Drosophila melanogaster: one gene and its partners. The protein of the gene in region 1 purifies or fractionates together with the protein of each later gene. This does not show direct contact. Each region holds a gene or a part of one and is shown on either strand. Other genes may lie near its edges.

Region 1 (6,358 bases):
CGCCCGGACTGTCGTCGTCACTTTTGGATGGCGAGTCTGGAAAAGATTTTTATTTACAACCGAGTCTCTATACTAAGAGGTCCCCCTTCCTAACAAGACACCACACAGATACCTCCTTGATCCCACCCAGAATTAGGCCAGATCCCTTCCATTTCCTTTACAGACCAGACCATCCTAAGTCACCTCAAAGAATACGTCTAAATCCTTTCCATATTCTTCCAGGATCTGTCAAACAGCAGATTTTCATTTCTCTGTGTGTATATAGTAGCCGCCTTGGCACACACTTATGGTGCGCTTCGTCACTACGTGGACTGCAGTGCATACTGATGTAGTTTAAATCTGCCGCCATTTGGCTGTTACAAAAGCTGAAGACGTCAAAACTCAGTGCCACTTTGGCTGGAACCAGAACTAAAAATCTCAAATTAAATGAGTCTGTGTGAAAGGTGAAAAGCTCCAGGACATATAAAAAGCTGGTAGCTATAAAACTCAAGTGACATTTTGAACGGAACCGGAAACTGAAAACGTTCAATAAAATGAGTCGGTGGAAAAACTCCAGGACAAGATTCCTTAATCCGAAAAGAAACCAGACTTTTGGGGAAAGGAAAGCAAACATAACATCCCTCAATATAAAAATAGTAAATAAAAAAAAAAATGTTTATATTTTTTTAATTTTTATTAAAAATGTAAATTCTGAAAATGCGGAATACCATAGTTCTCTATACCATTGACAAACTTCTTAGGTTCTGTTCTCTTTATATGTCGTTTGCCGCGCTTCGATCAATTGCATTATTTTTGGGTATATGCTGCGATGAACTTTTTCGACTGTTTTACATTTTCAATACCATCGATTTCTTTCTGGGGATTACAATTACAATTATAATGCTGCACTATGCATGTGTAAGAGTTTGTGTCGTGTTTATAGGTATGTGTTATGCTTTCGTTTGGAGCCTTGGCAGCCACACAAATTGGGTGGATCACAAAAAAAAAAAAGAAAGAAAAACCAAGCAGAAGGGCAATATACATAGATAATATATATATACGATGTCATATTTTATATATATATATATACTTTATTATATACTCGTACAACTAAAGTCCAAGCGTAATCGTCTGACTGACTGGCCTATCGGCGAAATGGGAGAGTGTTTGTCGAGTCTAGCGCTTTTGCTCGAGTCACAAGCTGAATCTGTGGAATTTGATTTAGTTGCCTAACACTCACTTAGTTATACATTTATATAGACGTACATATATACGCGACTGCATGTTGTATAATTTATGTTATATTGGTATATATATATATATATTTTCTAGGCATATCCAATATTGCGCGAAGCAAGCAATTCGTTTCACATCTAAAACTTCATCTCTCGATGGAAAGCATTTTCGTAATACAATTTCTGGATTTTCGGTTTTCTTTAGTTTTTTTGGGCTTTTATTTTGGGTTTTCTTATCTTGGGTATTTTTTTTTTTAAGGTTTGGCCACGACGCTGAGACGATCTACGATGTTTGTGGCTGATGTTGAGCTGTCCAAATGCACCATAACCAGATGAGGCCTTCATTCCCGTTTACTGCTCCTCGTCACCCAACTCGTGCTTGATCTTGGAGAAGTCGAACGTCTCGCCAGTGCCCCGCTTGAATATGTTCAACACATCCAGGCAAGTAGTCTCAAAGTGCGTGGTCGCATCGTAAGACTCCGAAATAAAGATTTGAGACTCGGATCCATCATCGATCGGCTCCAAATAGTCCGAAATGGTTACAAACTTTTGTGCGATCGGCTCCAGCAAGTCCAAGCCAGGCTTGATCTCCACCTCCGGGTTCTCGGTCTCAACGGTGGTCGAGACCATGCCCACGAACCAACCCTTGGCGGCCACCTGATGAGTGGAGCTCACAAGCGACACATAGATGTCCGACTTGCGGCCGACCTGCTTTTGTGGAATGATAATCTGCGTGGAGAGACCATCCTTGGTGCTGGCCACCGGATGGTCCAGAATGCAAATGCAGCGAATCACCTTGCCACGCTTGCGCACCTGTCACATAAAAGAAATGTAATACATGGTTATTTCCAAAAGACTAATAGGCTAGTTTACACAAATCTTTTGTGAATCTCACCTTCTCGGGCACGTAGCTGGGATCGCAGTAGACCTGCTTGCACTTGGCGACCTCTTCGCCGGAGCGCACTCCCACCACCTTGCCGCCCTCGCCGAGGACAATCTCGTCGATGGGCTTGTCAAGCATGTAGGTGCCGCCGTAGATGGCCGACAGACGTGCGAATCCCTGGGGCAGCTCACCCAGGCCGTACATGGGATAAAGGTAGGGCGACTTGCCGTAACGCGCCAGCGAATCGGAGTAGAGCTTAATCCGCCGGATGGTGTTCACGGCCGGCTCGTTCAGATACTCATCGTCGCGGAAAAGGGCCAGGGCGTGGCCGGTGAAGTCCTGCGTGTTCTTGTCCAGTCCGAACTTGTCGTACAGACCCTGCATGTTGGCCTTGGTGGGGTCAAAGTCCTTCCAGGTCTTGGGGTCATCTTCTCGGAAATCCTGCACGTAGATGAGGAAGTTCCGGAAGCGACGCTTCTCGAACATACCTGCAAGTAAAGTCACATTTATATATGTATATCCATAATGCCATATTGGTCAGTTTGGGGTTCAGGATCTGCATATAAAGGGAGTGCACGAGCCCGAGGGTTTCAAGTTTCCCGTTTCCATTTCATTTGCATGCCACAAACACTCACATACAGACACTCACTGGGACAACAGCACGCAACTACAGTGGGAAACCTTCAATTTAGGGGGCGGAGGACACACCACCAACAATCAGAAACCACTTGGCCACCCCATGACGTCATTCCGAGCATATGTGTAATGCGGACACAGTGAAGCATGGACAAGGTGTTTAACTTTCAATTAGCAAATTGAGACATCCAATAGGTATTGTTACAAACGGAAGTAAAATCTACCTAATAGTCACATTTTCATTGAAAATTTCTATTTTATATGCAAATTATTGATAATTAAAGACAAAAATTAAAAAATGTAGTACATCTAAAGTCATGAAATGTTTTCGTTTATAGGCAATCTCCACTGTAAAGTGAAGGGGGTTCAATGCGCCTGGCCAAAAACCTGGTTGCAAAAACTAAGTAAAAATTGAAATGGAAAAATTCAAGAGCCAATCATAAATAAATAGAGCGTGTTTTAGCTAATTGCATTGCTGCCACGAAGAAGAGGGAAAAACTTAAATTTCAAACAAAGCGAAATTCAGGTGTAAAATGGAGGCGACCAATTAGCGGCAGGTGTATGAATCAGCGCAGAGCGATTAAAATTTCGACTCCAATCGGAATAGGGCGATAATAGTTGGGCCAACAAACATGGTGTGGAAATGGATATGTGTGGGGGAAACTTTGGTAGAAATTCTTTGGCGAGCGAAGAAAACAACTGTTTTTCGGCACACACATACGTGTCACATTAAAAAAAAGGGAATAACAACAACAAGAGCTTTGCCAGCGAGTGAAAAGGCAGACAAAGAAGAGAAGAGAAAGAGAGTGGTGCGGGCGAGAGAGGGGAAGCAGATAACAGTCGAGTACGAAAATACATACATACAACCACGCACACACACAAGCACAGCTGGTAATTTGCACAATTTTTCGTGGGGGGCTCACCGCCAAGCAAAAAGGCAACGGGACTTAAAAGAGCATTATTAACGAACCCATGAGATCGGATGCCAGGGCCTCCTTTTGGTCCACCGGCACCTTGGCTATCTTGCCGCCCTTGTAAACGTAGCTGCCCTCGATGGACTTGAACTCCAGATAGCGGGTGACGCCCGTGTGGATCAGCAGCTTGACCAGCTGGCCATTGGCCATCAGGAACTTGGGGATCAGGTCCACGTTCCAGTCGCGGCCACGCCCAAATCGTTCGCCGGGCGGCTCCAGTCCGTAGCGCTGGAAGAGCTCCTCCAGCGGCGTTATCGAGGCGGACTCGCCGCCGTAGTACTTGTTTCGATCAATATGCAAAACCTTCTTGCCGGACACGGACAGCATCCCGCTGAGGATGCACTCCTTGAGGCCCGTTCCTAGCACAATCGCATCGTATTCCTCATTCATATTGGATCGCACTTATTTATATATTGCAATCACAGTAATTTATATATTTTTTTTATCCGGTTTTCGCCCTTTTCACTTGCTGCGACGTTCGATTTGGTGGACTTTTCTCTGCGCTCAATAATTTTTCTCTACTCGTTCGCCTTTCGCTCGTCCGCTTTGCGCTGCCCGTTTGCCGTCACGCCGTTTGCTGGTCACGTTACGTTACGTTTTCGTACATGCCCAGGGCTGCATGAGAAAGAGTTGCTATCGGCTGCTAATTGTACATGGAAATAAGGAAATAACCAAACAAGCATATAAGATATTTAATTTGCACACAGAGCATTAATGTACGAAAGATTTAGAGACGTGTGTGCAAGATTTTTGAATTGATTATGATTTTGCAAAAGTTTATTTCCTAGATTATTGACATTTCAGGGCTGCATGTCGCGCGCGCAAATTTATAGTTGCAATTTAAATTTGTTAAATGCATGTGTTGGTCTTGCATAAAGCAAGACATTATAAAATAACAAAACGGAGGATTCACAGATCGATCATATAAAATATAAAAAGATATTCAGCAATTATTGTAAACAGTATTTGAACGCTGTTTACCTATCGAGTTTTAAGTTACTGGAGATCTCTATTTATATCATATCTCACGCATTCGTTCATTACTTTTTATTTTAAAGAGAATACAATATAAGCAATTAGACTTTTCAATGTATGTAATAATTTCAAGAAAACCAACATTTGCGTACATTTATTATCGGAGACACGATAGACATTTATTCCGAAACTAGGGGCATTCTTCTTACAGCTGTTAGCACAGTTAGCGAGTCTGGCCACATCATCCCGAAGCCTCTGCAAAGTTTTACTGGTGATTTTGGTTGAAACGACGAGCCGATTCGGACGCGATTTTTGTATCGGGTTTATTTAGGTTGTTACGTTCTCTTCGCGTCGTTTCTTGTTTCTTTGTTTCGTCGGATTTTCGCGCGTGCAGCGAGCAAGGAAAACTAATCATACATAATCATACATTTTCGTGGAGCAAAAACACACGGCAATGTAAATGTTTGATTATATTTTCATTTAAAACGGAGCCAAACAACTGTGTACTTGTGTGAGTGTGTGTGCGTGCGGTGGCTGCGTGCTTGTGTGGAAAAGTGAAAATGCTATTTGGGCCATAATTGTATTGAAATTCTTAGCAACAACAACAAACCAAACCTCGAGTTCGTGGCAAAAAATAAGTTCGAAAAAAAAGACGAAAACCCCAACAAAAGGAAGTGAAAAAGTGAGCGGCTCAGGGATTTTTTATGCTGTGCTCCAAGTGAAATAAAGTCTTTGGGAAATAATTATTTATTGTAATTCCTTCGCTGAGGAAACATACAAAATAGAAAACAAAAAGATAATCTCCTGTCCCGCTCACACTTTCCGCCTGACCTCGGTTATCATATGTTACCTCCCTGTTGTTCTTGTTGTTGCTTTGAATGTGCTGCAACATTTTTGTATTGTTGCCATGCTGAAAAGTTGTTTTCATCCCCGTGTAAAAATAGTTTCAAACAAAAAATATAAAACAAAACCCCCACGAAGGCAAGGATAAAATAACCGCAGGCAATTGAATTGATCGAAAAACAAGCATAAATCCACGTCTACGATTTTATTGGGTAAGTTTTTCGTTTAAATCAAGTTGCCATATTAAAAATTGCACAGGCATAAAGTCGGAGGGAAAAAACATAATAAAGCACAGACGGCGGCAATCTACAGAAAAAACAAGTTGGTTGCCAAGAACCAGTTAGGCGTTGCAGACCAACTGCCCCGCCCACCGCCCTCGGCCCCCATCCTCCCAAAATATACGACGGGTTTTTTACCTGCTCGCATCCATCTCGCTCACTCATTCACACAGCCTCCGATCGTTCTGGCTTCTCCATCCTCTTTCCCCTTCTATCTCTCTCTCTCTTTGTCTTACCGGCATTTGATAAAAGGCAAATAGATTCAAACAGTCGCGGTTTTAACTTTGCTTTTTGTTTTTCTGCGGCTTTGGATTCGTTTGCACTGTAATGCAGTAAAGATGCTTGGCCTCACTGCGCACAGTGGGACTAGAAAATGCAAGTGAAATGCGAGGTCGGTGTGAAACCGACCCCCACATTGTAAAAATCTATTTTGAGCTAAAAATTAGTTTTCCTTGGCACTCATGGTTAAAAATATAATACATCTAAAATCATATATTAAGGGTATATTTTAGAGACATAACATCTTTCTTAAGACGGTAAAATTGAATTCGAATT
Region 2 (7,093 bases), on another chromosome or scaffold:
ACGCGCCGTGCTGCCGCAATGGATGGTTCCACCGCAGGTGCCTGCAGCGCTACGCCAACTCGTCCGGCTACTTCTTCAAGTGCCCGCTGTGCAACAACACAGATGTGTTCCGCAGGGTGGCTTATATGGGCATCGCGGTGCTGGACCAGTAAGTTAAAACCTACTACATTTGGAGCAAACAAGCCCAACTAACCAGTACTTGTATTCCGCAGAGACGCTTCCTGGGAGACCGAGCCGGACGCCTTTGCTGGGCAGTACCGCCGCGATGTCAATTGTACGGCCGCGTTGTGCGTTGCGGTCTCTGGTCGCGCCGACACTTCCGCCATGCTGCTGTACTGCACCTCATGTGGCGCCAATCCGTCACATTACCTTTGCACGTTGAAGACTCTCCAAAACTACGTCTGCAAGGTTTGCTCAGCCGTCAGCCCGGAGGCAGTGCCCGTTGCCGAATCGGACTCGGATGACGCCGGCTCAATGGACGACTCGGCCGAAGCCCCACGTCCAGGTCACCTAAATGGTGATCAGATTCAAGAGAAGCTATCACCCTCCCATTGGGATGATTTCGGCTCCTCCGACGATGATGCCGTCTTTCAGCGTGCGTTCGATACCAAAGTGCAGAGTCGCGTGGTGACCCTCTCCGATGATCAACCATCTACTTCTGCGGGGGCACGCGCTTTAGCCGATCGTGGAACTCGCACATTTGAATCACAGGGAACGCAAACAACATTTCTCTCAAGTGTAGTAACCTCGTTTCGCTCTGCTACTGCAACTGCGACATCATCCACATCCACATCCACATCCACATCCGCATCGACACTTGATAACCAAGAAAACACTGAGCCGTCCACATCGAATGGACGTCGTCCCTGGCGCCCTAGATACGTCTCGCCGCCTAGACACGTGTCGGATAGCGATGACGATAGTGATGAATATGATAGTGATGAATATGAGTCGAAGAGGCGCCAACTTACGCCCACTGCCGCTGCGCCGTCGAATGGCAGGCGTCTGTTGGGCTCCATCTCGCCGGAGCCGAGCACTCCTGCTCCACGTGTCTTACGTCGCCGCACTTTGGCCAACAGGCCTTCCTCACTCGCCAACATGGATATATCCTGTGTGGCCAATAGGACCCGCCACCGCTTGTCCAACCACATGGCCAGCCGCAAGGATTAGGAGAACAGATGACATTACAATAGATCACACTCGCACAAATCCATGTACACGGCAAGATCAATATGGATATATCCTGAGTGGGCAGGATACCCGCAGGGACTAGGAGAACAGATGACAACATCACGATACATAACACTTGCACATTCCATTAACCATCACATCGACTAGGTTGTGGACCAAATGCGTGCGTTTGGTTCGCACCCGTTATTCTCTATTTTCCGCCTTTTGTACATATAAAATTCCATTAAAATCCTGTTCTCCTAGCGGTATTCGCTAATAAGATGCATTTACCATTTATTTGCTTTGTTAAGTAAGCTAAGTAAGTGCTCCTTTCCACACGTATAAATAACTTGTATACATATTTACTTTAAGTAGCTGTAGACATTATTTTCCCCATCTGACTTTCTTTTCAGCAGCTCGCAGTGCCTACATTATTTCAATTACTCTAAGCATTACATTTTTTTGACTAGCGATCTAAGAATCCCTGAATCCAGTATCTGTATCAAGAATCCCAGTATCTGAACGCTAAAATGAAATAAATAAAATTAAAATATTTGAAAAATAAGTTAGAATGATTTTATTTGGATGTTGAAAAAACTTCTCAAAAGTTGTAAACTACGAATACTCACTTTCATTAAGAGTATAGCGTTTTGCTTCTAGTTAATACCCGCTACAAATCGGTATGAAAGTATATAATATTTAGTTTTTTTTTTGGTATTAATATAATATGGGCTTTATAAGTGATTATTTGAAGATTTTTTAAAAATCGCGCCATTCATAATAAATAAGTGCTGGATATGGCCAAAAGTTTATGCACAGGTGGCAACGTTAGCAACCCGCTAAACGGCAACACTTGCGATAATGTTCTCTAAATATATCGATACATATTGATATTAAAAAAAATTGCCAGTATTAATTTATTAAACTAATTTAATTTTTTGAGTGGGCACATTGCATATTTAGTTACAGAAAAATTCGACTTTATGCTCCGGCTAAATGAATCGATGTTTGTGGGGTACTATCTATCCTAAACTATCGATAGCATAAACATCGCATTTGGTTCCGTCTCTAGTGTGGGTGCGTTAGCAATAGTTTATCCAGAATATGAATTAACCAGAATTAATCCGCAACGCCGACGCCCACAAATTCCCACAAATCGTCGTCCTTTCAGCGCTGCAAGAGCAACCCGGAAGCTGGAAAGTTCGAGACCGCCGAGAAGCCCAATATAAATTCAACAGTCAGCCAGAGCTTCACTCCTGTGTGTGTGTGCGTGCGTGCGTATGTGTTCGTGTGTTGTGTCTGTGCTACAGTGTTGGAGAGAGCGAGACGCACGATTGCGAGGGAGTCGAGCTTTGCGAAAATTTGCCAGCCTATATTGAAATATTTTCGGCACCAAATCGCCGTCTTATCCGCCAGCAAGCCATTGGATCTGATGGAAATGAGCCTGCCGCTCGATTTCTCTTCGCAAATCCGCTGTTAAAGCAAAAGCAACAATTGTACCAGTGGAGCCAAAAAAAGAGAAACACACCTACCTAATCAAAGGAAATTAAATAACAAGGCGGCGGCAACAACACTTACATAAATTAACTCGCAACGCAACAACACTAATAACTATAGCTTATCACACAGCAACAAAAACATCAGCAACAGCAGCAAAAACAACAACAACAACAGACCAGCAGCCAGAAAGAACAACAGCTTATCTCAGATATTCAGCCGGCTGCACCAGTGCGAGCGAGAGGGTCGTAGCTTGGGGCGAAAGAGAGGGCGCTTCCGAGAGAGTGCGAAAGAGAGAGAGAGAGAGAGTAAGCGCAGGGAGTGTGCTCCTGTGTGTGTGAGTGTGGGAGCAGGCAGCAGAAAAAAAGAAAACAAAAGTATATTTTGCATTGTTCGACGCGCCTAACTGTAAATATAAAAGCACTTGCAAAAACAAGGAAAAACACAGAAAAACAGCGAAAAAACGTCGAAAAATGGCACGCGGCTTCGATCATCTATTCAAGTTGCTAATAATCGGCGATAGCGGTGAGTTTCCCAGGCATTCCCGTTTCCCACAGACCAGGTGCTTAAAAATAGCATCGAGTTGAAAATAGCAGGTGTAAATTGCAATTTGTCCCCGTTTCCTGGCCAAAAACGCAGTTGTCTCCACCTCCCTTTCGCATTACTGCATCTGATTACCATTAATGTATGTTACATTTAAAATGCTAACGCCAACATGGCGTATGAGTAATGTTGTTTTCAGTTTCCATAATACTTTCAACATTCGTCAGCTTCTTGTTTCTATACTCAATGTTTTTGGCATACTCAACATGTGTTAGGTTGTACTAATTTTATATATTTAATCATAAATGCAAAAGCACTTTATATCAGTCCTGTCCTCCTCCTAACGTAGCTATCTACATATTCATTTGGGCGTATTTCGAGAAAGGTGGTCTGGCTCGGGCAAAACCAGGCTCATGACTAATGGTGACGCACTGGCAGGATATACAGCTTGATATGCGAGCAGACCAGCTGCGGCGGTAACCGGAGCAGGAGAACACTCCCCGCTCCACAGCAATGTCATATGCCGAATGGGCTTACTTGTGTGTAGTAACGATATCACATTTTTGTAATACGAATCCCATTCCATCTTTCCATCTGATCCCCTGCAGGCGTGGGCAAGTCGTCGCTGCTCATCCGGTTCTCGGACGACACATTCTCAGGCAGTTACATCACCACCATCGGCGTGGACTTTAAGATCCGCACCGTGGACATCGAGGGCATGCGCGTAAAGCTGCAGATCTGGGACACGGCCGGGCAGGAGCGCTTCCGGACAATCACCAGCACCTACTACCGCGGCACCCACGGCGTCATTGTCGTCTACGACGTCACGAACGGCGAATCCTTTGCGAACGTCCGCCGCTGGCTGGAGGAGATCCAGAATAACTGCGATGTGGTTAAAAAAGTATTAGGTGAGCCTATATCGTATTACGCACAGAATTGGTTGACCCGTACTGAGAAGTAGTTGTTGGCTATGCCAAGCGGAGCTTAATTAGTAGACAACTTACATTATCGATATAGACTCATGTTTCGATTCCTCAACAGTGGGCAACAAGAACGACGATCCGGACAGGAAGGTGGTCATTACCGAAGACGCGCAGCGGTTTGCGAAACAAATGGACATCGAGCTATTCGAGACATCTGCCAAAGACAACATAAACGTGGAGAACATGTTCTTGTCGATTACGCGACAGGTGCTCGATCACAAGCTGCGCACCTCCCCCAACGAGCAGCAGAAGGACACGCTCCATCTGAAGCCCAATCCCAAGGGCAGCAAGGGTGGGAAGTGCTGCAGGTGAAAGCGGCTCCGGCACGGGAGCTGGCATTGCAACTGGACCGACGGCGACGGCGGCGGCGGCGGCGGCGGCGGGACGGGAATTGGAACTGAAATTAGGACCAGGACCTGGATCAACTTCGGGGGCGGACGGAATCGTTGTGGGGGCGCGTAGTTTGTAGGGTTCTTGGCTTACGATTCGACACAGACACTCACTCACATAGACATAGCTAACACCACCAAACAACCAACAACAAGAAACCACACAAAGCAAACAACACGAGACAACTGAACAACACTCACACCCACTAGAGACAACAATTTTTTTTGTTTTGTTTTTTTTTTTCCTCCTCAGTTTTATTCGGAATAATGCCAGATAGCCGTAAATTAAAGTGTAAAAGTGTAAAGCGCAATTAAATGTATTTAGCAATTTATATACATATTAATATATACATACATAAACAAAATTGAAACAAATTGCATATTTATATACAAGAATATATTTATATTTCAAACGGAAAATTGTATTTACAATAACAAGAGCGACCGCAGGAAAAGGCACGAGGACGCAAACGCCTCGCTCGCTAGCTAAGCTACGAAACACATTTATAGAAATATATAAATATATATACATAGATATACATATGTGGGGAGATCAAATTATTGGCTTCCGATCGCGACTCTCCACTTTTAATACTCCCATAGTTTAAAATTTAAAAACGAAAGCTCTGATCTGCCGACTATCAATCGCGAAAGACACGTTTTGAATGAATCTGAAATTTTATTTGCTTGGAGTGATGCTTTTAAACATTTCGTTGCTCTCGGAAACTGCCTTACTTGTTAAGATTTCATTTGATATTATTGCCGCCATTCCGTGATTGATTTAACTGGATAAACTAAAGAACTTCAGGGACTGTTTCCAATTCTTTTGGATGTGCTTGCTTAAAATGAAAAACCTGAAACTGTCAGCCAATATGATTTCCAATGCAAATTTTCTGAAGAGAAATAGTTGTAGGTAATGTTTGTATCTATTCGAAAACCGGGGAACCAATACTCCAATTCTCTGATATTATATACATACATTACATATGTACCCTCAGAAAGAATAAAGATTGATCTTTGGAAAAACACGATTACTTGCGCTCGGACTGTAATTCAAAACCATGTTTTTAATCCATAGCTATGTTGAATATGTCCAAAATGTAGCCACTTTTCATTTAAGTCCTTAGGCATTGCTGATTTAAAATTAAATAAGATATGATTGGCAATCAACATTTTGTGGCATTCTTTTATGCCACAAATGCATTTAATACATCGCTACATTTGTATTGTATCTAAGTTAAAAACGCACCAAATCGCACTGCAAGCACGTTCGTTATTTTTGGTAAACTTTCCCGATTTTACAATTTTTGTTAGCTTCTAAAAGTAGTTGCATACTCTTCGGCGACTCTATGAAACGAGTGAATAACGTAGTAACGAAGCGCACTAGAATTTATATTTATATGTTCACAATGTACATATGGGTTCGCTTTGTGGTAACCATATTTATTCTGCTTAAAAAACCATTCGATTCATAGATTTATTTTAAATACCACAATAATCGATTTCGGTTCCAGTATATATTTATTTATATGTAAACCTTGAGCTATACCCAAAATTCAAAGACTATGTTATTGCGTTTGAATACCAAAATGAATTACCTAGTTGTGGTTTGGGCTGAAAAAAGCTTTCAGAAAGTGAGGCAAACTCATAGTTAAATACTATTCTCGAATATGAAACCTATATTTCATACCAACCAAAAGAAAACTATATATTTATATAAATGTATATATATATCTATATATATAGATGTATATATTTATCGATCAAAATAAAGAAGGCAATTTGATTTTCTAAAATGTTTGGTCTTTTGCATTTAGCCGTTAAGATTTTGGGTTGGATTTCGGTACTAAGACAATCAGTAATATAATCTTTATATCTTTAAAATGGAATTTTTTCCCTTCTGCAGTATTTGAAAACAATTTGTTTAACTTTTTTATGATGTATTCAGTTGTTTGTGACTTTACGGATCCCAGAAAAATAGCACATTGTTTATGATTATTATTTACTTGTATTATTTATTGTTTTTCAACGCATTTTTTATCGCTTCTGTTGGGGAGAGCACGAGGTTAGGGCAACGACTAGTACGGGAAGTGGGCAGATGCGGATTGGTGCGGATTGGGATGGGGATTGGCTGGGCGGATGGTGACTGGTTTGGCAGGCAGTGCGGCTCCGGGACTATACGACTCCCCATCCCGCCTCAGTGGTACTTGGCCACGGGAAAGGTGCGCGTCTGGCGACAGGACACCAGGGCGTCGCCCGACTGTCCCTGTGGACAGCGGCAGACAGCCAGGTGGGCCTTGGGCTCGCAGCTGGCTCCAGTGGCACACTTGCCGATGCAGGGATCGATGCACTGGTAGTTGATGCAGGCGCGATGGTCGGGGCACTCGTTGTTGCTCAGGCACTCACCCTGTGGACGAGGGTAAGTGGGTTAGTACAGTAGTTATGCCCCATTATAATGGAGAATGAAGAAGAAGAAGAACTCTATTTAAAATCGAAATACAGACAAAATTT
Region 3 (8,438 bases), 7.1 Mb from region 1:
AATGTCTTTCCGCCGCAAAGGAACTTCTCTGCTAAAAAAAAGTTAAATTACCTTTTTTATAAAGCCATGAGCTAATATTTTGAAAACCCATAATACAAAAGCGATTGTGAGCTCATTGTCGATTCAAATCGAATGACCATATATGTATATACGCAGTCATATATATATATATATAAGTATATACGATGTTTTCATTTATTATAATTTATAAATTTTAAATTTAAATACATACAGACAACATAAAAATTACGAATTGGAAAGAAATATGCATCGGATCTTTGATGTTTGTGGAACGATTTAAACAAGTTGTTTACGGTATTGTGTTGTTCGATTTGTTTTATTTATTTATTTTAATTCACTTTACTTCCTCTCCGCTTAATTGCATACTAGATGTAAGTTTAATTTTTATGGATTACGATAGTATCTCCGTTCTCGTTTACGTTTAAAGATAGTAGCATTAAATCTTCGATTGTTGCTAGAATGTGGAAAATAGTTCAACGCAAGGCGAAATTGAAAAATAAAAAAATCTAAAAGTATGCATAATTGGTTTTCTTTTTTTTTTTGTGGTTTTCGTTTTCCTTCATTTTCATATGTGTATATATAATTTATATAAATTGCAACTATCACACGTGTCCGCCGCGACCCGGAGTCGAATCATCCGCGTCCGTATCCGGATCTGGAGTCCGAGCTCCGGAGCCGTAGAGACACACACATTGCCACAAACCGAGGCGAGCGAGGATCTTCAGCCGCTGGCCTGAACATTTGCTCCTTGTGGTGTTTGTTTGTTTTGTTTGTTTTATTTGGAACGCTGCTGAGAACAACTGCAACTGGAATCTGCCCCTTACTTAATGCTCAGAATCTTACACGACATGTAATCTTTACAAATATTCTTTGCTCGCTTAGTTGGTTTCGGGGTTTCTCTCTTTTTTTTATACAATACGATTTCAAACTTTCTACGACACGATGAAATCTCCAAAAACCCTGCGCTTTCTTCTCATGTTTAGTTTTCATTATTAATTTGCGTTGTTATTTGAAATGGTTTATGTTGGAATTATACTGATATTTTAGCTCAATTGCGTGAGTGTCAGTTTGCTTGTATATTTTTTGGACAGATATCGAGCGTAATGGGGGAAATCGGGTGTGGGAATTTGTAACTAACTTTCTTTAATTGCAACTTTCGTTTATGTTGGGAATGGGAGCTCCTTTGTTTAATGCTTATAATTCTTATGTGGTCTTTATCATTATTGGTTTCGTGGCTCTCAAATGAAATTCGTCCCCTGCGAGAGCCGGCTTTAGGTATTTCTTTCTGATTCTGTTGAATTTTTAAATAATTTTTTTATTTATAATTATCAGCATAAACTTTTCAAATCTCTCGTTGGAAATTTCATTTTCTGTAAAGCCAAAAAAAAACTGTGTTAGTAATGCAACCGTATTTCCAACGCAATTAACTTACCTACGAAGGGACATCACTTGCAGCAGTTGTTCGTCGGTCGATTTGTTTCGGTTCCAGTCGGCCTTATGCTGGTTCCCTGATTGTTGGCGCCATCGTTCTTAGGTAGTTTCTTGGCTGTGGTTGGGGTAGTGATTAGCAAAGTTTTCGAAGCGTTTACGACGGCTCCTTATAGCTTACCAATGGCCAAGAAGATGTCGTTCACATTCATGCCCGTCTTGGCGGAGGTTTCCATGAACAGCAGCCCGTTCTCCTCGGCATATTGCTTCGCTTCATCGAACTCTACGACGCGAATGTTTGACAAATCTGCCTTGTTGCCGGCCAGCGCAATGACAATGTTTGGTGAGGCCTGGAAAAAAGTTTTATTAATACATATTTTATGTAATATAATTTACGTATCAAGTGAACGAATTTCTCGAGTTAAGAATATTGAACTGAGGCACTTCATGAGCAATAATATAAATGATTATAATATTAAAACACTCTGCACGATATTCAAGTTTCCCCGCTGACACTCACTTGTTTATGCAGTTCCTTGACCCAGGTCTTCGCACGCTGAAAACTGTCCTGATTCTGTATATCATAGACGACAATAGCGGCCTGCGCTCCTCGATAATACATGGGAGCTAAGCTGTGGTACCTACAAAAGCGAATATAAGTATGTCAGATGAAGCTTTCAGTTGGGTGATCTATCCAGCGATACTTACCGCTCCTGGCCAGCCGTGTCCCAGATCTCGAACTTAACGACAGTGTCCTCTATGCAAATAGTCTGTGTCAGAAAGGCCGCACCTATCGTGCTCTCCTGGTACTCGTGGAACTGTCCCTTGACGAAGCGCAGCACCAGTGAGGACTTGCCCACAGCGGACTCGCCGAGGAGCACCAACTTGAATTGGCAGCTTTTGTTCTGCGAGGTGCCATTGGGCCGCTGCGCCGTTCCAGTGCCGCTGGCACCGCCGCTGCGTGGAGTGGTTGCCATGATCGGTTCGGGTTGGATCGGATGCGAATGTGGATGCGCTCTTCCTCCTCTGAGATGGCAACTGATATTTGGTTCTACGGACGGTTACTGCAACTCACTCCCTCTTCTGCTGAGTAAGTCTTTCTGCTAAGATTGCTGCTGAGTGTGGATGCGGAATCTGCAAAATACAAATAATGTACATATTTATAATGGAGACGGATAAAAACGAAATTGAGTGCTTCCAATTCTTCTGCCATAATGGTACGTTTTTAGGGCTTAAACTCAGTCCCCTTGAAAACATGCTGCCCATGTGGATGAATATAAAACCCACATAAAACCATCAGATGATTGTGTGGCGCCTTTGTTTGTTTAATGACGCCGTCGACAAGCCCAGTTCAATATGTACATATCCGAGAATATGCACAAAAAGCCGACGTTTTCCATCAGTAAATGAAACAGAGGAAAAGGGAAGCGTCTGCCAATGGTCACTGATAAATTCAATTGAAATTGAAAGCAGTACGCCCTACAAAAACTCACATTAGAGCTTATATTAGTTTATTTATATTTATATTTATAAGTGTTACACATCCGAAAACATATCATTACTATTTGTGTCACTTGGCAACATAATAGTACTGATAAGCTTGTGATAGGAAAATCAGTGAAAGCAATTGTTCCACGATTAGATGTTCAATGTTATGAGTTGTGTTTAGAAAATTCCTTGCGTGACTGCTTCAAACATCCACAAACACAAACATTCTTAATTACATGTGCAAATACAAATCCATCAACAACTAAAAATACTTTGGCAAACACAAAGGGGAAACCTTATATGCGCTTTCTAGGCGCAATTATTGTTTTTCCCTTTCTTCGTGGCAGATAAGGGGTTTACAAGTAATCGAAACTACAACATTCTTATCGGTCCCTTGTGCGGGAAATCTAAGTTATCGTAAAAGATATTTATTGCAGCTCCTCTAGGGGCTACCGCGCAATTGATAATTCACACACTTTCTGGTGGAAAATATTTCGAGGGCGGGTGAATTTGTGTACATATGTGTATAATAGTACATAACACAGAGGACGCCTCGCATTATTCAGCGGTAATGCGTGTGGCATTCACAGTATTTTTGTTATCAGTGCCACTTTTATGAATCATACGCCCCATTGGCCACTACACTTTTACCGATGTCCCACAGATACGTTGATCCCGAAACAAGATATCGTTTTAAACAGAGAGTAATCATTAAAATTGTTTAAAAATATTTACTGTTGCATATATTAACTAAGCTAAAGTCGTTTTCAAATCTTCACAAAGTATCGTTCACATGCTTTTCGTTTTTATGACCGACGACGGGAATCTCAGAATTCCGACAGAAATTAATTAACACATTGAAGCCAGACTGTACAGTGGAGATAAATCTACGAAGATCGGGGTATGGAATTCTACACGAGTCTTGTTTACTTTGTGGAGAGAAGTGAGCGCAGAGCGAAGAGAATTCACAGAGTGAGGGCGGAAGCTGTGATAAAAATCAATGCAAAATAAATTAACGGGGAGACGTGGAGAAAGTAAAAGCGTGACAAACATGTACGCTGTGCGGCGTTATTAAATTAACAAGGAATGAGGGAGAGAGCGAAATATGCAGGCCCTCTCTTTGCCATTAAAAATGCAGTCAGTCAACAATTGTTTGTTTCTCCCCCTCCCTTCCGATCATTCAATTGTTTTTTTCCCGGAGACTTTGGAGCCAAGTGCACAGTCACACACACATACAGAAGCCGACAACTTGGTCTCTCTTTTCGAAAACCGCACTCTCATTGCGATAAAGAAATTTCGCCTACAATTACTTTTCATTATCCAGCGAATGACGTATTTTGCTGTTTTTTGCGTCTAAGCCAAAACGAAAACTGCACTTTAAATTTAATTAAAACAAGCAGTGTGTCTCACTAAGCCAATGCAAAATTTTCCTTGAGAAGCGGACAGCTGTCAGTAAATAACTCACCGCTAATTTTAATTCGAACCGTAATTAATGCGGTTTATTAAACTTTAAAGTCACTTGGACAACAGGAGTGACTTTCGCGCCCGTCTGCGGAAAATTCAATAAAATATAAAACAACGTTCAGGAAATTACGGTTCTTTTAGAACAGCTGACGATGCGTCATTCACGCGACTAATACAAATGCAAGTGAATCAAAAAAGAGAATGAGAGCGAGAACAACAACCATACGTAGCCACAGCCTTTATCAATCAAATAGCTGTAATACGTGGAATTAAGTTACAAATCTTATGTTAGATTTTAAAGATATTTAATATAAATATGAAATAAAGAAGAACGTCCACATAGCTTGTGCTTAATTTTAAGCATGAATTAAGTTTTAAATCCACCTTTGGAAACTTAAAACATTTTCATTATATCAACATGGCCCTATTCACGTGAGCTTGACTGTGGAATTGCCTCACTCGAAAAGTCAACAAGTGCAATTTTCTCAGCACGCATATTTGAAGCACGTCTAGAAAACGGAGAATACAATTAGCGTTATATTTACTGTCACACCACACATCACTCCGTAAATATGTATAGCTTGACAAATGCGGGTCTTCCATTTGCAAAGCGAGCGAAAAGGTCTAGAATAAACAAATAGAAGGATGCGTTTTTGTTTACATTTGGGCTTTATAGAAACATCAGAGACAAAGACAGTTCTTTGAGAAACTTGCACGATAAGGGAACGGATTGCCGATAAATACACACACACCACACACCCACACTCTCTCTCATAACTAAAGACGCAAAACAGGCGGAACAAAGAACCGCGATTTTTGATCCGTTTTGGCGTGTAAAGCGCTGATAAATTGGGTGATAATGCGGGCCAAGATCCGATTTTGCCAGCTTTACTCCATACCAGAGTGCACCTGCAGTGTTCTTTATCTCTTCACAATTAGATTCGTGAACTATCTTAGGCCTTGCGACCCACTGTGCACGCTGCACTTGGAGCAGGTCGTACGGCCGTCTCGCTCTAGCGCCCACTCTCATGGGCAACGCACCCAAAATTCAGGGCCATCTATCGCGCTCGCTCTTACACTCGCACTATGGCGGACGGGGCGAAAAAATTTTACACAACTTTCTTAATTAATTACGAGGGGTGAGCGAAAACAACAACGCAAAAGCACTCGACTTTCCGCCGAATTACGCACTCTTCTAAACGCGGCACTTGGAGACCAGTTGACCATTTGCATTTACGTTTTTTCCTTTCAATTGTGTGCCCCAAAACAGCCCCAAGAAACGAAACGAAACGAGCGCAGAGGGAGATAGATAGCGACTGACTCGCCTCTCGCAAAATTATCGTCGCGTCGCAGGTCGTGTTTTTGTCGATTAACTTCCTGGGCGACGTCACCATTGATTTGCCAAAGATTTTTGTCTTTTTTAGCTTCCTTGCCTTGCTAATGGCTAGCGAAATTATCGCCTGGTTTATTAGTAAACTTAACTTACAACTTTCTTGGAATTTTATGTGTGACCGCAGGACGACTGTTGGAATATGCCAAACATATCCTAAGCTCTGCTCGTTAGCAGAGGCTCCAACCAACGATACATATTTCTATCGATTAGTGGGACCAACATATTACACAATATAAATAAAATTTTAATATAAACATTTCTTACCGTGAATATACAAAACATATTTCTTTGCTGCACGAGTCAACTAATGAATCGTAAAACGGGTATATTTTACATAATAATTGTCTTACTATGAATTTATGTAATCAATGAGCTTGCAGGAACCGGCTCCATTGGTGAATTTGTTTTAATTTTTCTTCTGAATTATTTCTTAGCAAATACACGCACCATCTACTAGTGAGTCACATTTATCTATCACGCTCTATCGTATACACTTTTATCAATTTTTGCCTGGTATTTTTAAGTACATTTGGATCGGTGCAGGACTGTTGTCATGTTGCAGGGGTCCAGCGACGGGCACACTGAATAGAAGAAGTAATAACATTGCGAGAAAAGAAGAAGTGAAAAATTAAGAAAAAGTTTACGGAAGTGCGAAATGAGTTTTAAAAAATAAATCATAATTTTGGGCGTTGCCAGGCGCATAGTAAAGTGATTGTGTTAATAAAAGAATACCGACCTTTGTGTCCTGATTCGCCTCCTTCACGCACACACTCGCACAGACTTGCACAAACACACGCACACAGTTGCGTCTTTCGTCATCTCTCTCGCTCTCAGTTTTTTATCGCAGCTGCAACGCAAATTGCAAAAAGGATAAATCCCACCGATCTTGCGAGTCCGGCCGTTGGCTTGGCTGCGAAAATATAAGCGCAAAGGTGGGCCCCCAAAAAAAGAAGCTAATCAATATTGATTTTGGTTAGCGGTATGTCTACTTTTCGGGTGGTCTCCTTTCTAGCGTGCGAAATTCTCGGGGATCCAGGATTTCAAAGGATTCTGCACACGCACACCCATCCAAGCACAGTGCTCATTCGAAAAAGCGAACATACAAGTGAGCGGAACATTAAAGCGAAAGATATATATTTTTAAACCATTACACGTACACAGAAAACAATTGATTTCTTGCGAGCAGTAAAATTAATACTTGAGCTAAATTAATATTTCTAAATATTTACACAAGTTGTAAAAGGTACACTCATTAGGCTTTTGGCAATTTGTTTGTTGGATCTAGGACCTGGTCAGGGGCTCTTACGAAACGTAAACAGGTGTAATTAATTTACTCAGAAATAAAGTTTCGCATTCCCGGCAGTTCTCCCTCTCGAATGGACACTGTACATACACACCTGATCTATACGTTTTCGCTACCTGCGAAGGAAATTTCCAAGCAACATTATGTAAAACCATTTCCTCCTACTTTCTTGCAGATGACCAAAGGACACTCAATGATCTAGGGACCTCGACACGGATAGCATGTTTAGTCCTATAAAAAAAATATTTACGTACATACAAAAAAATGCGAGCGGCTCCAATATGTTTAGCCCATCAGGAAACAAGGCCGCCGGCCAAAGGGAGGGGACCACCAGCCTAACTGCCCACGACGAAGGCGAAAGGAAGGATCAGCGGCATCTGGATCACAAGGATAATCAGAGCGAACCGGAGGAGCGGCAGCATCAGCTGCAAATATTTCCCCACCTGGACGATGACGACGACGACATCGAGAGGCAGATCAAAACCTCCATAATTGACGCCAGCAAGGTGCACGCAGCGAAAGCCAAGGCGTTGGCTTCCCTACCCATGCCGCTTGAGCAGCTCGATGATGAACTGGCGGACTTTGCTCACGGCCCGGCGGACACCGAACTAGAGGAGCAGTTCCTTGAGCTGGAGAACTATCCTAATAATGAGATAATCGTACTAGGCGATGCGGATCTTAACTCTTCAATAGCTTCCGACGCAGTCTCCGAGGACCCACTGGCAATTGACAACATTCTTGACTCCGCGTCGGTCACCACAAACGAGGAGGTCGACACCAGTGGAGAACTTCTTTGGCTGAAGTTGAACAATGAGACGGAAATGGCCACCAGATCAGCGGAGGTGGTGTCCAACAACCAAGCATCATTGGAGCCTGCCCAGCCAGCCAAACCGAAAGAGGATGAGCTTAGAGATGGTGGGTCTGATTCTGGTTTAGGAAGTGAAACCTCCGCGTTACTCAAGGATCAGGCGGAGAAAGAAGCCGAGCCGGAAATCCAGAAAAAGGTGGAAACGAAGCCCATAAGGTCCAACCTTAAACGGAGACTCGAAGATTCGGAAAGCGATGCTATAGATCTGGTGCCCGACATGTCTGCCCCTCCAGTAGCCCCCCAGAAGCGGACTAAGCGCTCCATCAACTTTGACGAGGTGAAGGTGTTCTACTTCCCACGACAACAGGGCTTCAGTTGTGTACCAACGGCGGGCGGATGCACCTTGGGCATGGGTGCAAGGCATGTAGGTTTTAAGACGATGACCCTGGCCGAGCACGCAGCGGAGTTGAGGCGGGCACATCGCAGCCAGAACCAAGAACTCCAGCCTCGGGGTTCCAGCAGTGACGACAGCG

What was found. Proteins that work in one complex are often made in the same cells at the same time.
Region 2: the proteins of Gdi (region 1) and Rab35 purify together in Drosophila melanogaster (affinity purification with mass spectrometry, with the first as the bait; 2 studies listed by BioGRID). This does not show direct contact.
Region 3: the proteins of Gdi (region 1) and Rab5 purify together in Drosophila melanogaster (affinity purification with mass spectrometry; 2 studies listed by BioGRID). This does not show direct contact.

The regions. Positions count from the first base shown.
Region 1 is NT_033779.5:9,490,519-9,496,876, forward strand, and holds Gdi (GDP dissociation inhibitor), read right to left. Parts: upstream 4,359-6,358; 5' UTR 4,098-4,358; coding exon 3,704-4,097; intron 2,586-3,703; coding exon 2,110-2,585; intron 2,028-2,109; coding exon 1,566-2,027; 3' UTR 658-1,565; downstream 1-657.
Region 2 is NC_004354.4:20,154,995-20,162,087, reverse strand, and holds Rab35 (Rab35), read left to right. Parts: upstream 1-2,215; 5' UTR 2,216-3,140; coding exon 3,141-3,192; intron 3,193-3,559; exon of another isoform or gene 3,560-3,730; coding exon of another isoform or gene 3,731-3,749; intron 3,750-3,818; coding exon 3,819-4,118; intron 4,119-4,251; coding exon 4,252-4,505; 3' UTR 4,506-6,322; downstream 6,323-7,093. Other genes in the region: Phf7 (PHD finger protein 7), read left to right, coding at 1-148, 213-1,170; aspr (asperous), read right to left, coding at 6,780-6,989.
Region 3 is NT_033779.5:2,359,003-2,367,440, forward strand, and holds Rab5 (Rab5), read right to left. Parts: upstream 6,272-8,438; 5' UTR 6,059-6,271; intron 5,953-6,058; exon of another isoform or gene 5,835-5,952; intron 5,720-5,834; exon of another isoform or gene 5,311-5,719; intron 4,503-5,310; exon of another isoform or gene 4,403-4,502; intron 3,780-4,402; exon of another isoform or gene 3,673-3,779; intron 2,854-3,672; exon of another isoform or gene 2,737-2,853; intron 2,584-2,736; 5' UTR 2,427-2,583; coding exon 2,158-2,426; intron 2,091-2,157; coding exon 1,970-2,090; intron 1,800-1,969; coding exon 1,631-1,799; intron 1,568-1,630; coding exon 1,467-1,567; 3' UTR 1,454-1,466; intron 1,392-1,453; 3' UTR 564-1,391; downstream 1-563. Other genes in the region: Axud1 (AXIN1 up-regulated 1), read left to right, coding at 7,319-8,438.